Linked DNA regions of Drosophila melanogaster. The protein of the gene in region 1 purifies or fractionates together with the protein of each later gene. This does not show direct contact. Each region holds a gene or a part of one and is shown on either strand. Other genes may lie near its edges.

Region 1 (6,094 bases):
TCTTATCAAATGATTTTCTTCTGTAAAACTTTCGCTGGCCGTCACAGGCGGACAAGGACAAGACAACCCTTTTAGTCCACCCCATTTGGATGCTTGGTGTTGGTGTTGGTGGTGTTTCATGAGAGCTTGATTTCTGGCCACGACCAGTGCACTGAGAAATAAGGTCGGCAAATGCGGAAATCTTACGCAGTCATCGGTATTGTATTTCAATGCTAAAGGCATTAAAATATATACATAAATATAATAAATACATATATTCATGGGAAATCAATTAAAACAATGCTAGTACCTATGAGCTAAATTCATGACGTGCTTAAAGTTTCTCCTTTATTTGATGTCCAAGCACTGGTTGTTGTTTTTTTTTGCAGTGCATCAGTGTCGCCTCCGCTTGTCACTGCCAGGCTAAAGAATAAAAATAAATAAATAAAAACAAGAATTTTGCCGTGATTTTGCATTTCTGGGCAGGACTTCAACCCAAATATAAAATATACTGTCTCGCTGTGGGAACTAAGTCACTGGGTCCACCTTAAAAGAGCGTAAAGAAAACTACACACACACACACATCCGCATGTACACACGCACACGCACACGCACACACATGCATGCGCTTTACGGCCATAAATTAAACATGCCGCCCGCAAAAGTATGCTATGGATTTGAACTCGGATTGCGAATGCGCTGAGGCGTGCGAATGCCAAAGTTACCAGAAAAAAGAGCTGGCGAAAACTTTCACTCCAGAGTCGTGGCTGGCATGGTGGGCATACCTCATACTCTATTTTCCATTTTCCACTTTCCATTTGTTTGTCTGTAGTCGCAGCAGCAGCAGCAGCAGCAGCAGCCGCAGCCGCAGCAGCACAACTTGAAAACTACTTTGGCCAAGACAAAGTGGCTCAGAAGCACGCATACGCATGACCAGAAGTTGGCCAAACTGGGATATGTCGATGGGCCTGTACATAACTGGTCCACCCTCGGCTTGATTATAAATTTCAACTTAATTACTAAAACAGAATTTAATCCTTTCGAAGTGTGTCGCCGACTTGCCCATTATGTATGTACATACATATGTATGTATGTATGTATGTACAAGCATGCCTGATGAAATGGGTATGCGGTTGCAAACTACAAAGGATGCCTCACAACTTATGGCCAAGCAAACTATCCGCTCGCTCCGCTATCACCGACACAGTTAGCAACAACAATCGCCCGAGGCAATTGTGCGGCGTGGTGCACAGTGGGGCAAAACTGACAGCACTTGGCACACATTTTGGATAGTGTCTTCTCACTGAAGTGTAATATACGTGCATTTCTTGTAAAGTTGATAATGATGATAATATTCATAATAATGATACAACGTACATATTTATATCGTTTAGAACAAACATATAATTATATCCACTGCATTATTATTCTTATTGAGCAGCTATATAGCATACCATTCTGAAATTTATTCAATTTTCAACAAATTACAGAGCACAAGGTAAATAAATTTTGATATTAATATTTTTATATTTCCATAAATATATGTATACATATGTACATACATTGCGTACTTTACAATTGAGAATCTTAAGTCGAGTGTGGCACATTTGGCTATATTTTTGTTATGTTTATGCAGGAAAACCAATGGCCACATATACACGCACACACATACGCCCACCTGACATTCTTGTATGTGTATGCTTTCACCCCCTAAGCACACACACAAACAAACGCACACTGGGCACATACATACATACATACATACATACATGACTAAACCAATTTCCACAGAGCATTTTAAATTTCAAGCACACATGAAACGGACGAAGAAAGGCGAGTGGCAAGCCGTAGGCCGCCCCCTCCCACATTCACACACAGATGTGTGGGCAGCAACTTAACTTACAATAAAGGACATTGCCCAGCCTCCTGCCACCCACCACCCGCCTCCCCACCCCGCAACGGTATGTAAAGTGCGTAAGTTGTGTCCAAGGGTTTGGAATACGAGGATTGGGACCCTGGGCTTGGGTTCATTTGGGGGTTTTCTGCACTATTTTACATACGTAATGCGAACTTCATGGATGCAGAGCTCATAAGCGCCAACGGCCAAGGCTTTTGGAAATTAGCGTGGCTGCCAAATCAGGAACCGGCTTAAGGAGCACCAGGATTCCGGGATTGGGGTGCTATGGAGTGGAGTGGGTCGGTGTGTGGTGTGGTGTGTGGTGTGTGCTTGTATCCCCGGGCGGCTTGGTGGCAATCAACTGGGAATAGAGCCAGAGCACTCCTTTAGCCCAAGCGAACATGAAACGATTTAAAAAGTTATGTTTTATGTGTTCTTGTTGCCAAAGTAAACTGTAAACTGAATATGTTGATAAAATACAATAGATATGCTTTCAAAAATACTCGTAATATCATATTTATTCTGGTGAAACAAATAAGTTCTCAACAAAGGAAGGTTCCAGGTGTCCCAACCGGATTTGCTCCGAAAGAGACTGTGCCTCACAGGTCTTCGCCCAACTGGGCCGTCCTGCTCGGTATTTCGTCCGGGATGTTGAACGTGTGGCGGATCTCCTCGGGAGTCTTTCCCCTAATCATATTGGCCACCGTCTTGCAACAGAGATCCACTAGGCCCTTGATCTCCAGATAGTTGGCGGCCAGTATGATTTCGAACAAGGTGGGTTGATCGACGTTAATAAAGTTGGCGTCCCAGGCTGAGATGTCATGTGGGCTTTGCGGGCTCAACTCCACGCCCTCCGCTCCATGGGCATCATCGTCCTTGTGGTGATAGATCCAGGTCAGAATCTTGGATAGGATGAACGCGTTCACCTTGGGCAGCGGCACAATGGCATTCTCGTCGTTCTCCACGGCAGAGACCTCCAACATGGTCTTGATGGTTTCGGAGAGCTTGGCGGCTCGGACTTCCGTTGAAAAGATCATCCCATCCGAGGACTCAAGCTTGATGGTGGGAGCATCCATTTTCGGTTTGCCTTGCCTTTCTATTTGCCAAACTACGTTCAAAGAGATTCAGAAGAACAAGATGGGATGATTGATAGAGCACGTGCCAACTGGACGATTCGAAAGTTCAAAGAAAAAAGAATAGAGAACAGAGTGACCAGATGTGATCACTGCGGAATCACTGTCGTCAAGTGTGTACACACTAGAAATTGGAAGTCTTAACATTAAGAACTGTAGATTCGCTTTAGCTTTTTTATTGAGAATCGCGAATCGTGTTTTATTTATCATATCAGACCTTAAAAGTGTAATAAAAAAAAGTGTAATATGAATTTTAAAACCTATATGAATGTTGGGTAAGTGCTCAATCAAAAAATTTCAAAATAATAGTTCCGGAAAGAACCCCGTAAAAAATATTTTTAACAGAGGGAACTGGAAAATAGCACGTGGGCTTACATTACTTGCTCTAATTTTTCAAAAAAACTTTAAATTAAATATATATTTTTTCATTTGAAAAACAGACGGACAGAAGGCACTTTCTACCTGTTACATACTCATTAGCGATTCTAACATTCCCTTTTACTGTATTATTATTGTTTTATGAAACACTCCAATTATGTGTAACTTGCTTTCCATAAAATATATACACTTAACAGAATCAAAATTTTCAGTTACCGTAAAACTGTATTTTGAACCGAGTTCCAAAATAATATATTAATATTAAATCCAAGATACAAAGAAGAATTTCGATTTGCTAGCTTTAGTACTTAATTACGTACTTAATACGAGGATGAGGATGCAATTCGGCCAAAAAAGTGTCCGTTTTGGATAGCAAAAACAAAGTGCGAAAATACCATTATTCGAGTGAGTTTTCCTAGCCGCCAAACGGAACGCGATTTAAGTTTTTTTTTTTGTGTGCCAGTTGACGCAAAGGCTCTAACCTATTAGGCGGTCAGCAAAAAAATGAACTCGAGTCATGCCGTCTTGTGGAGCACCCTTTTCGAGCCGTCCCGGGGATCACCCCTTCCCATCGATTGACAGCAGCCGCACATAAACCAAAACCCTAAGATTTGTATTTAATTTAAATGCTTAAAAGATATATTAATTAAAAAAAGTGAGCATGTGGACAAGAATAATTTTAGGGTTAGAAGACATGAATACAGAGGGAGAAGTTTCTGCTGAAGTAAACATATTGATAAATTCTATCGGACCTAAACCTATACTTGCGTGAAAGATATCAAACTGCGAATGTACACTGAGAGAAATTTTCTGAATAATTATATCCGCAAATATTTGAATTATTCGCAATAATTCCTTTAAATGTGAACCCAAGGAGGAGACTTATTTTATATTACTTTTGTATTTTTAATTTTTATTTAATTTGCCACGCCCACAAACCGCACAAAACTGCCACGCCCACACTTTCGAAAAACGTGTTGATATTATTTCAAATTTTTATTAGTCTCGTAAATTTCTATTGATAAAAACAAAAATTTTGCCACACCCACTCGAACGCCCTAAAACCGCCCAACCGGTCACGCCCACACTTTGGAATAATTTTTTAAAATTTTTATAATTTTTTTTTATATCTATCGATTTTTCTGAGTAACGGGTATCTGATAGTCGGGGAACTCGACTATAGCATTCTCTCTTGTTTTTCCCAAAGTTGAACAAATTCTATACAGATTAACGCGACAAATGAATACACTGAGAACAATTGCTTGAACCCTAATTATATTGCTAGACTATAAGCTATTAAATATTAATTAAAATCTAACCGACCTTACCCGCAACCCACTCACTTACATTTAATTTTTACTGATTAAAGAAACTGATTTGAAAAAAAAGTAATAATTTATAAAACAAGAATATCGTGAAGAACAACAACACTGAAAAAAAAAACTGAAATATGGAAAAACTTAAATAAATAATTTATTCTTTTTTTTTTAGATTATATTTAGTCATCTTAACGTCTATTTAATTATAGTTTTTTTTCTTAACTTACATAAGTCATTATCTATCACCTTACTCTGAGCAAATTAAATTTATTTCAATTTGTTATGTACTTATTATTGGTTCCTATAAATATTGTTATTAATCATTAGTCAGCAAATGATAGAAATGAATATGTAAAAATTAAAATACTGAACTCGGCTGATGTTTCTCCGGACATAGGGCACATAAGGGGCCACTAGAGCCATTGCTCTCAAGGAAAGCTAGGTCATAGGTACACCTATTGTTTCATGCTTTCATTCTCTTCTTGAACTATCTTCGTTCGAATATATTAATTTGCTTCCTCCGATTTTGTATACTAACTCCTATATTCTTTTGTCGCAAGCATAGACCACCACCCCACAACGCCAAAGAGCTAGAGCCGGATTCTGAAGCGTGCATCCGCCAGTACAGGTTCCCTTGCCTTCCATCAATTCTTTTCGTTACACGTAACCAGTCTGAACCAAACATCCAAATGATCTTATATGCATATTTCATAAAAATAGTTTATACTATACATATATCCACACTTTCATTATTTAATTGATTTTAAATACATCGTTTTGTATATATTAAAATTATTACCTTTTAGAGTCTAAAACGTGGAAGACTACAGCACAGTACAGATCAACTCTCATTCTAAATTGATTAAAGGTAATTATCTTTGATACCAATTATCGGTCCGAATAGCCACTGGGATTGTAATCTAACCTTATTTATTTATCATAGTCCATAACATGCCACCTTTCTAAGGTAACACAAAATGTACTTGTTCCAACACTGGTATATATATATATATATATTATATAATATTAGTATATTTATCTAGGCGAAACAAAAAAGTTCTCAACAAAGTAAGGTTCCGGTGAAGTTTCCTCTTCTTCTCTGTGCCTCACAGGTCTTCGCCCAACTCGGCCGTATCGATCGGTAAATCGTCTTCGATGTTGAACGTCTGGCGGATCTCCTCGGGAGTCTTTCCCCTAATCATATTGGCCAACGTCTTGCAACAGAGATCCTCTAGGCCCTTAATCTCCAGATAGTTGGCGGCCACTGTAATTTCGAACAAGATGGGTTGATCGACGTTAATAAAGTTGGCGTCCCAGGGTGAGATGTCATGTGGGCTTTGCGGGGTCAACTCCTCGCCCTCCGCTGCCTGGTCATCATCGTCCTTGTG
Region 2 (5,959 bases), on another chromosome or scaffold:
TTCTTCTATGCTCTTTGACATGTAGGGTCCGTCAAGTTGGTATCCCATTTTGCGATAGTAGTTTCTGGTGCCCACTCCCGATATGACCGCCAGTTTTGTGCTGCCGTGCTCCTCTCGAGCAATTCGCTCCGCCTCCTCCATCAGCAACATACCGAAGCCCTGGTGCTGAAACTTGGTGGGATCCCTAGCATTAACCGGCACGACTGAGCCATATACGTGCAGCTCCCTCACAATGGAGCATTCGCCCTTCAGTTCCGGGCGGAAGGTATCCGGTGAGCACTTTCGCAGCCTAAGAAGGCCTACGAGAATGTCCTGTTCAGGATCTTCGTATGAGAGGAACGTTTCCCAGCCGCCATTGGCCACATAGTCCCGACGAATTAGCTCAATTTCGTAAGGGCGCACCTTGTTGTGGATTTCCTGAATGCCAACTTCGCGGGTTCTAACATCGCGGCAAGTGGTTCCAAGATCCTTCATGCGGGCCAGCGCCAGTTCACGGAGATTTCCGTGTTCCACGCCGGAACTAAAATGAAGAAAAATGTCAGGTTTATTTAATATATATATCGGACAAGTTACCTAACAAGCGGCATGGGAATGTCGCGCTGTACGCGGTACACTCGCGTCCATGGTGGTACAAGGGCCAAAATCTTCGCCACTAAGTCCACAAGCATGGATGGCGGATATGACTTATATCGCCCGGTTTTCCATAACTCGTAGAGACCAGTGCCGCGAATGACGAGCGTGGGATAGATCTTTAGGCCGTCAGAGCGGAAGGCAGGGTTCTCAAAGTACTCGATAAACTGCTCGATGTCGCGTTCAAAGTCAACATTGGGAAGATCAGGCATCATGTGCGTCACGATCTTATAGCCAGCATCCTTGCCCAGCTGGAAGCTCTCGCACACCGCTCGCACCGTGTGTCCGCGGTTCGTATCCCTGGCCACGTCTTCGTAAACCGATTGCACACCGATTTCCAGCCGGGTGCAACCATAGCTAAGCATATCCGATATGTGCCGCTTTAGGCAGTAATCTGGCCTTGTTTCTATGGTGATGCCAATGCACTTTGTGCGTGACTTCTCCGAGTAGCGTACGGCTTCCGCCACATTGGCGCTGCTGTGGCCGGAGAGGGCGTCGTGTAGGTTGCGGATAAAGTAGTCGCGGTACTCCTCCGGCAGGCACATGAACGTACCGCCCATTACGATGAACTCCACCTTGTCCACACTGTGTCCCAGCTGCTTCAGCTGTTCAACGCGGTGTCGGGTCTGAAGAAAAGGATCGTACCGCGACCGGATGGCTCGCATCGAGGTCGGCTCGTAGCCTGTGTACGACTGTGTCGAGTACTCAAAGTCGCTGTCCGGTCCGCCGGGACAATAGACGCATATATTGCCGGTCATATTGATGTGCGGACAACGATGCGGCTTGCACATGACGGCGACCACGGCGATCTGGATTGAAATAATTGAAATGAATAGTACGCCTTGTGTAAGCAAGTGCGACTTACGCCACTTGCTGTGCGAATGGGCTTTGCCCTCAGCTTTGGAAGCAGAATTTTTTTGGCGTCCTGCGGCACGGCAGCAATTATGTCGACCAGGCGCGGCGAACTGTCCAGTCCATATTTGGAGGCCACCAATGATTTCATCCGATTAAGGTTTACATCCTTTTTGGCTTCGTGCGCCTTCAGCAGCTCCTGAATGATCTCCCCGATGACGAGCACCTGTCGTTCCTGGCGGCTCAATCCCACGCCTGAAATAATTGGCGGGGTAAACGGACGTTTAAAGAATTACTTTCGTAGCGACGTTACCTACCCAACTTCTTTTTTGCCTTCATTTTGCTGATGAATATCACATAAACTGCACGTGTGAAGTTAGCAGCACTTGTTTTGATTCGGTTATCGACCGACCAATAGTCCGATAACCACAACACTGTTTGACAGGTTTTGAAGCTAACACCACTTGGTAACACTTTTAGATGGTCTATCGTTTGTCGATTATTTATTTGTTTTAGCACCAGTTTCTCGGGAGTTCTGTAAAATGACTAGCTGCGTGCCAGCGCATCAGCAAAAGGACCAGGAGCAGTTGCTAAAGGAACTGGCCAGCAGTGGCGACGAGATGGACGACCCGGACGATCCGGACCAGGAACACCACCAGCTGGTAGAGCCGACCTTCTCTTTTTCGGTATGTATACAATAGGCTAGTTTCTTGCGGGCCGATTAATAAATAGCCTTTCCAATTTGCAGAATAGTAACACCTGCTGGGTGTGCAACGGCTACTATGGGCCCAACTTCGGGGAGCCGTTGTGCGGCGCCTGCCACGCCTTCCTGTACAACGCACAGCGGGCGGAGGAGCTGCTCACGGAGCTTTCCGATGACGAGGATTCTGGGAACGACGAGCCGCCGTTCAAGGACAAGCAGGAAGACGAGGAGACCGAAAACGACGTAGACATCATGGGCTTTGAGGATCTGGAGGACCCCCAACCGGCAGCCGTGCCACAACATCCAAATCCGCAGCCACCAATGGAGCCACAGGATCAACAGCCAGCCCAACCAGTTATAGATCTGCCACAGCCGGTGCCGGAGGCTGCGGCACCACGACGCGAGTCTCCGGAGCGCGACTTTGAGCACGAGAGAGCCATTAATCCCTTCCTGCTGCCCATTAAGCGTCCGCGGGCCACGGCTCCCTTGGCTCTGCCCCATTACATGCATGAGCTGGCCGATGGAAGGGCGCGAGTGCATGAATACAACGCCGCCAGCGGAAGCGGAGCAAGTGGCAGCAGCAGAAACATTGTCAACATAATACCCGTCGAGGTGATGCTGAAAATATTTGCCTATTTGGACGACATGTCGCTGTGGATGGCTAGTGAAGTTTGCAAGCAATGGCACGACATTGTCGGGAAAAACACGGCCCAGAGCATGTGGAAGGCGTATATCAAGCAGCGCTGGCCGCTGTTCGACAGTTTGGCAGACAATCCAAACTGGTATCGGCTGTACGGGGCACTGATGTCTTCCTGCTTCTGTCGCACTTGCCTGATTGAGATGGGCGGTCGGGGTCAGGATGCACAGGAGGCAGATCCACAGCTGGGCGATCGGGAGCCGGGCAATGTAATGCGCAACAACTTTCTGCGCGGTGAAGCCAATCTGCTGAACAGCTACGAATCTGAGGGCATATCGGCCATACCGTTGGATCGGCAAAACAACTACTGGCAGGCGACAATTCTGGGGCCACCGGGCAGTCCCTACGAAGGCGGCAAGTTCTTCCTGTTCATATACTTCCCGGAGCGATATCCGATGACGCCGCCCACAGTACGTTTCCTCACCAAAATCCTGCATCCGAATGTTTCGCGGCATGGGGACGTGGGCATCGACATCTTCCAGCAGCACAACTGGTCTCTGGCGCTGAACGTGGCCAAGGTGCTGCTTTCTGTGCAGAGCCTGCTGACCGATCCGTATACCGAAGTCTGCATGGAGCCTGAACTTGGATACATCTATGAGCACGAGCGCGAAAGGTTCGAGCAACTGGTGCGCGCGTGGACATGGAAGTACGCCATGTACGAGCTAATTGCACCGCGCTAGAAGATCAAAAGCCCTCCAAGGACAATGGACTGAAAGTTGGAAACTACCCCTCTTTACGTTGTAACTACATATGCCTGTGTATTTAGCTTAGTTGTGCCATCTGGATTGTTTATTTTGGCCTCCCCTCTCACTTTTCCTGCGCTCCAGGTTGAAACGTAGTCGAAATTACTTAACCTTATAATAAATGTATGCTTTAAGTTACGAGCGGCGTCGCCTCACTTCGTCCAGGACACCTTGGGGATGTCAAAGTGCTCGGTGAGCGTGTCCAGGTGCTCGTTGAATTTCTCCACGCGCTCCTTGTGGGTGGTTTGTGCCTTGTCCATGATTCGCTTGTTGCGCATCTTTTCCTGCTGCTTCTTACTGGCCAGCTCGGCCTTGGTGAGCTTCCGCTCGTAGCCACTGGTGGCGGAGGAGGATGTGGCCCCCGATTCCGCTATTTGCTGCTCCACGAACGCCTTCTGCAGCTCCTTCTCCTTGTCCTTGCCCTTGTGCTTCTTCTTTTTCTTCTTGAGATCCGAATCGTTCTTTAGTTTAAGCTTGCCCTTGGCCACGCAGGCGTACTCGTCGGACATGTCTTTAATGGGTTTTCAATCTGGAAATGGATTGGTAATGAATCCGATCTGTTTACGTTTTTCTTGTTTTTGTTTACACCAACTGCACGTTGTTATCTTTACATAATTTCTGATATTCGATGTTATTACCTGACCAGAAATATATCGATGGCATTTTATCGAATACATTTGAAATGTTACAAAATACGTTATTTTTGTTTGTTTTTTGTGGTAAGTTTCCTTAATCTAACAAGAAATAACTTAAAAACCTCTAATATAAATAAAAACAGTCCTGTAAGACTAAAAATAGTTGTTCAAGACATTACATACATTCAACTGTTAGAATACAAAATGTAAAACTTAAACGGTATTACCCATGGTAATTGAGATGATAAGCGAATAAAATCTTAAATTAACGAAATTAGCGAGCCTTGACGGCTAACTCCGGATTTTTTATCATTACCACAATGATTGTTAAACTGACTGGATCTACTACCTTTTTGGTAGCACTATTCCTGTTTGAGGTTTCTAGAAATGTTGCCGGTGAGTTTTGTTTTTATATATTATAAAGTAATTGACTTTTGATTATTTAATTAGGAGCTCTTGAGGCGCTTCAGACAACTAATGACACATTTGTTAGGATCGGGAACAGTTACTATCTCATTGAACGAAAACTTCAAAAAAATTGGTTTGGTGCCTACGAAATTTGTCGACAACAACAAGCGGAATTAATCTCTCTTGAAACTTTCGACGAATTGCGCCTGGTAAGCGAATACCTTTTAGCTAATAACATTTTCGAGAGATATTGGACCTCCGGAACGGATTTGGGAACCAAGGGAAAACATGTTTGGTTTTCCAATGGACAGCCCTTGTCAACGGATTTGTGGTACGGGGGAGAACCAAATAACAAAAATAATGAGGAGCATTGCGATGAACTGGGAAGTGATTTTAGACCGACAAAATCGCCAGGAATGAACGATCGGAATTGCAACTTTGAAAGTTCTTTTATTTGCGAAGAAGTTCAGCCGAAATATAATGTATGTCCGTAAAGATAAAACATTGTCAACTTGAAAAGTAAATTTTGAATAAGTTGAGTTATTATCTCTTTATTTTTCAATATTAGGTGTACGGTTTTTGGTGCTCTTATTTAAATGCCACGCAGTGTGGGCTTTCTCTCTTAATCCGCTACACTCTCTCTTTCGTCTCTCTTGCGCCACCCACGCCGAGGAAAAGCTCGGTGGAAATTTTGGCCGTGCTCTCGAACGAACTTGTTAGCATTTCGCTGGCATTCAGATTCAGTTCTAATCCAACGGGTGACGGAACGACATACCGTGTGTGCTGTGTTCGCTGGAGGCGCGACTGTAAATATTTAAAAATTGAAAAACATATTCATAATCGGCCCAGGCCAAAACACTGCGAGAAATTCCTGCAGCGAAGTGATTTCGAATGAGTGGTTTCAAAGTGAACGGTGTGAGCCAAAGTCGTGTTTTGTGTCCATACACACAAAAGAAAATTTATTAAATAAAATCATAACAAATGCATTTGATATATAAAAGTTAAAAAGTTAAATAAAAAATAAAGTTGAAAGTGCGAAGGTGAAAATTCTGCTCGCTCTTTCTCTCTCTTTTTGCTGGCGGAAACTAACGGTTTAGGCCAAAAGTGCCGTAAAAGCTCTCTCCTGTCGCACATGCGTGTGCTTGTGAGCGTGTGGGTGCCTGCTTGAGCGTGCGAGAGTGTGTGTGTGTGTGCCCGTGTTAGCATCCTGTAGCAAGTTCTTCACTCAAGGATAACAGTCGTAAAAGCACAACAATGTAATGAACAATATCAGAAAATATCATCATCATCG

The links. Proteins that work in one complex are often made in the same cells at the same time.
Region 2: the proteins of SkpC (region 1) and morgue purify together in Drosophila melanogaster (affinity purification with mass spectrometry, with the first as the bait; one large-scale study listed by BioGRID). This does not show direct contact.

The regions. Positions count from the first base shown.
Region 1 is NC_004354.4:19,812,996-19,819,089, reverse strand, and holds SkpC (SKP1-related C), read right to left. Parts: upstream 3,019-6,094; 5' UTR 2,953-3,018; coding exon 2,476-2,952; 3' UTR 2,390-2,475; downstream 1-2,389. Other genes in the region: SkpD (SKP1-related D), read right to left, coding at 5,813-6,094.
Region 2 is NT_033779.5:4,440,673-4,446,631, reverse strand, and holds morgue (modifier of rpr and grim, ubiquitously expressed), read left to right. Parts: upstream 1-1,951; 5' UTR 1,952-2,024; coding exon 2,025-2,168; intron 2,169-2,230; coding exon 2,231-3,562; 3' UTR 3,563-3,762; downstream 3,763-5,959. Other genes in the region: Elp3 (elongator complex protein 3), read right to left, coding at 1-520, 574-1,439, 1,496-1,737, 1,800-1,821; CG15432 (uncharacterized protein), read right to left, coding at 3,778-4,134; Sfp24F (seminal fluid protein 24F), read left to right, coding at 4,581-4,656, 4,711-5,162.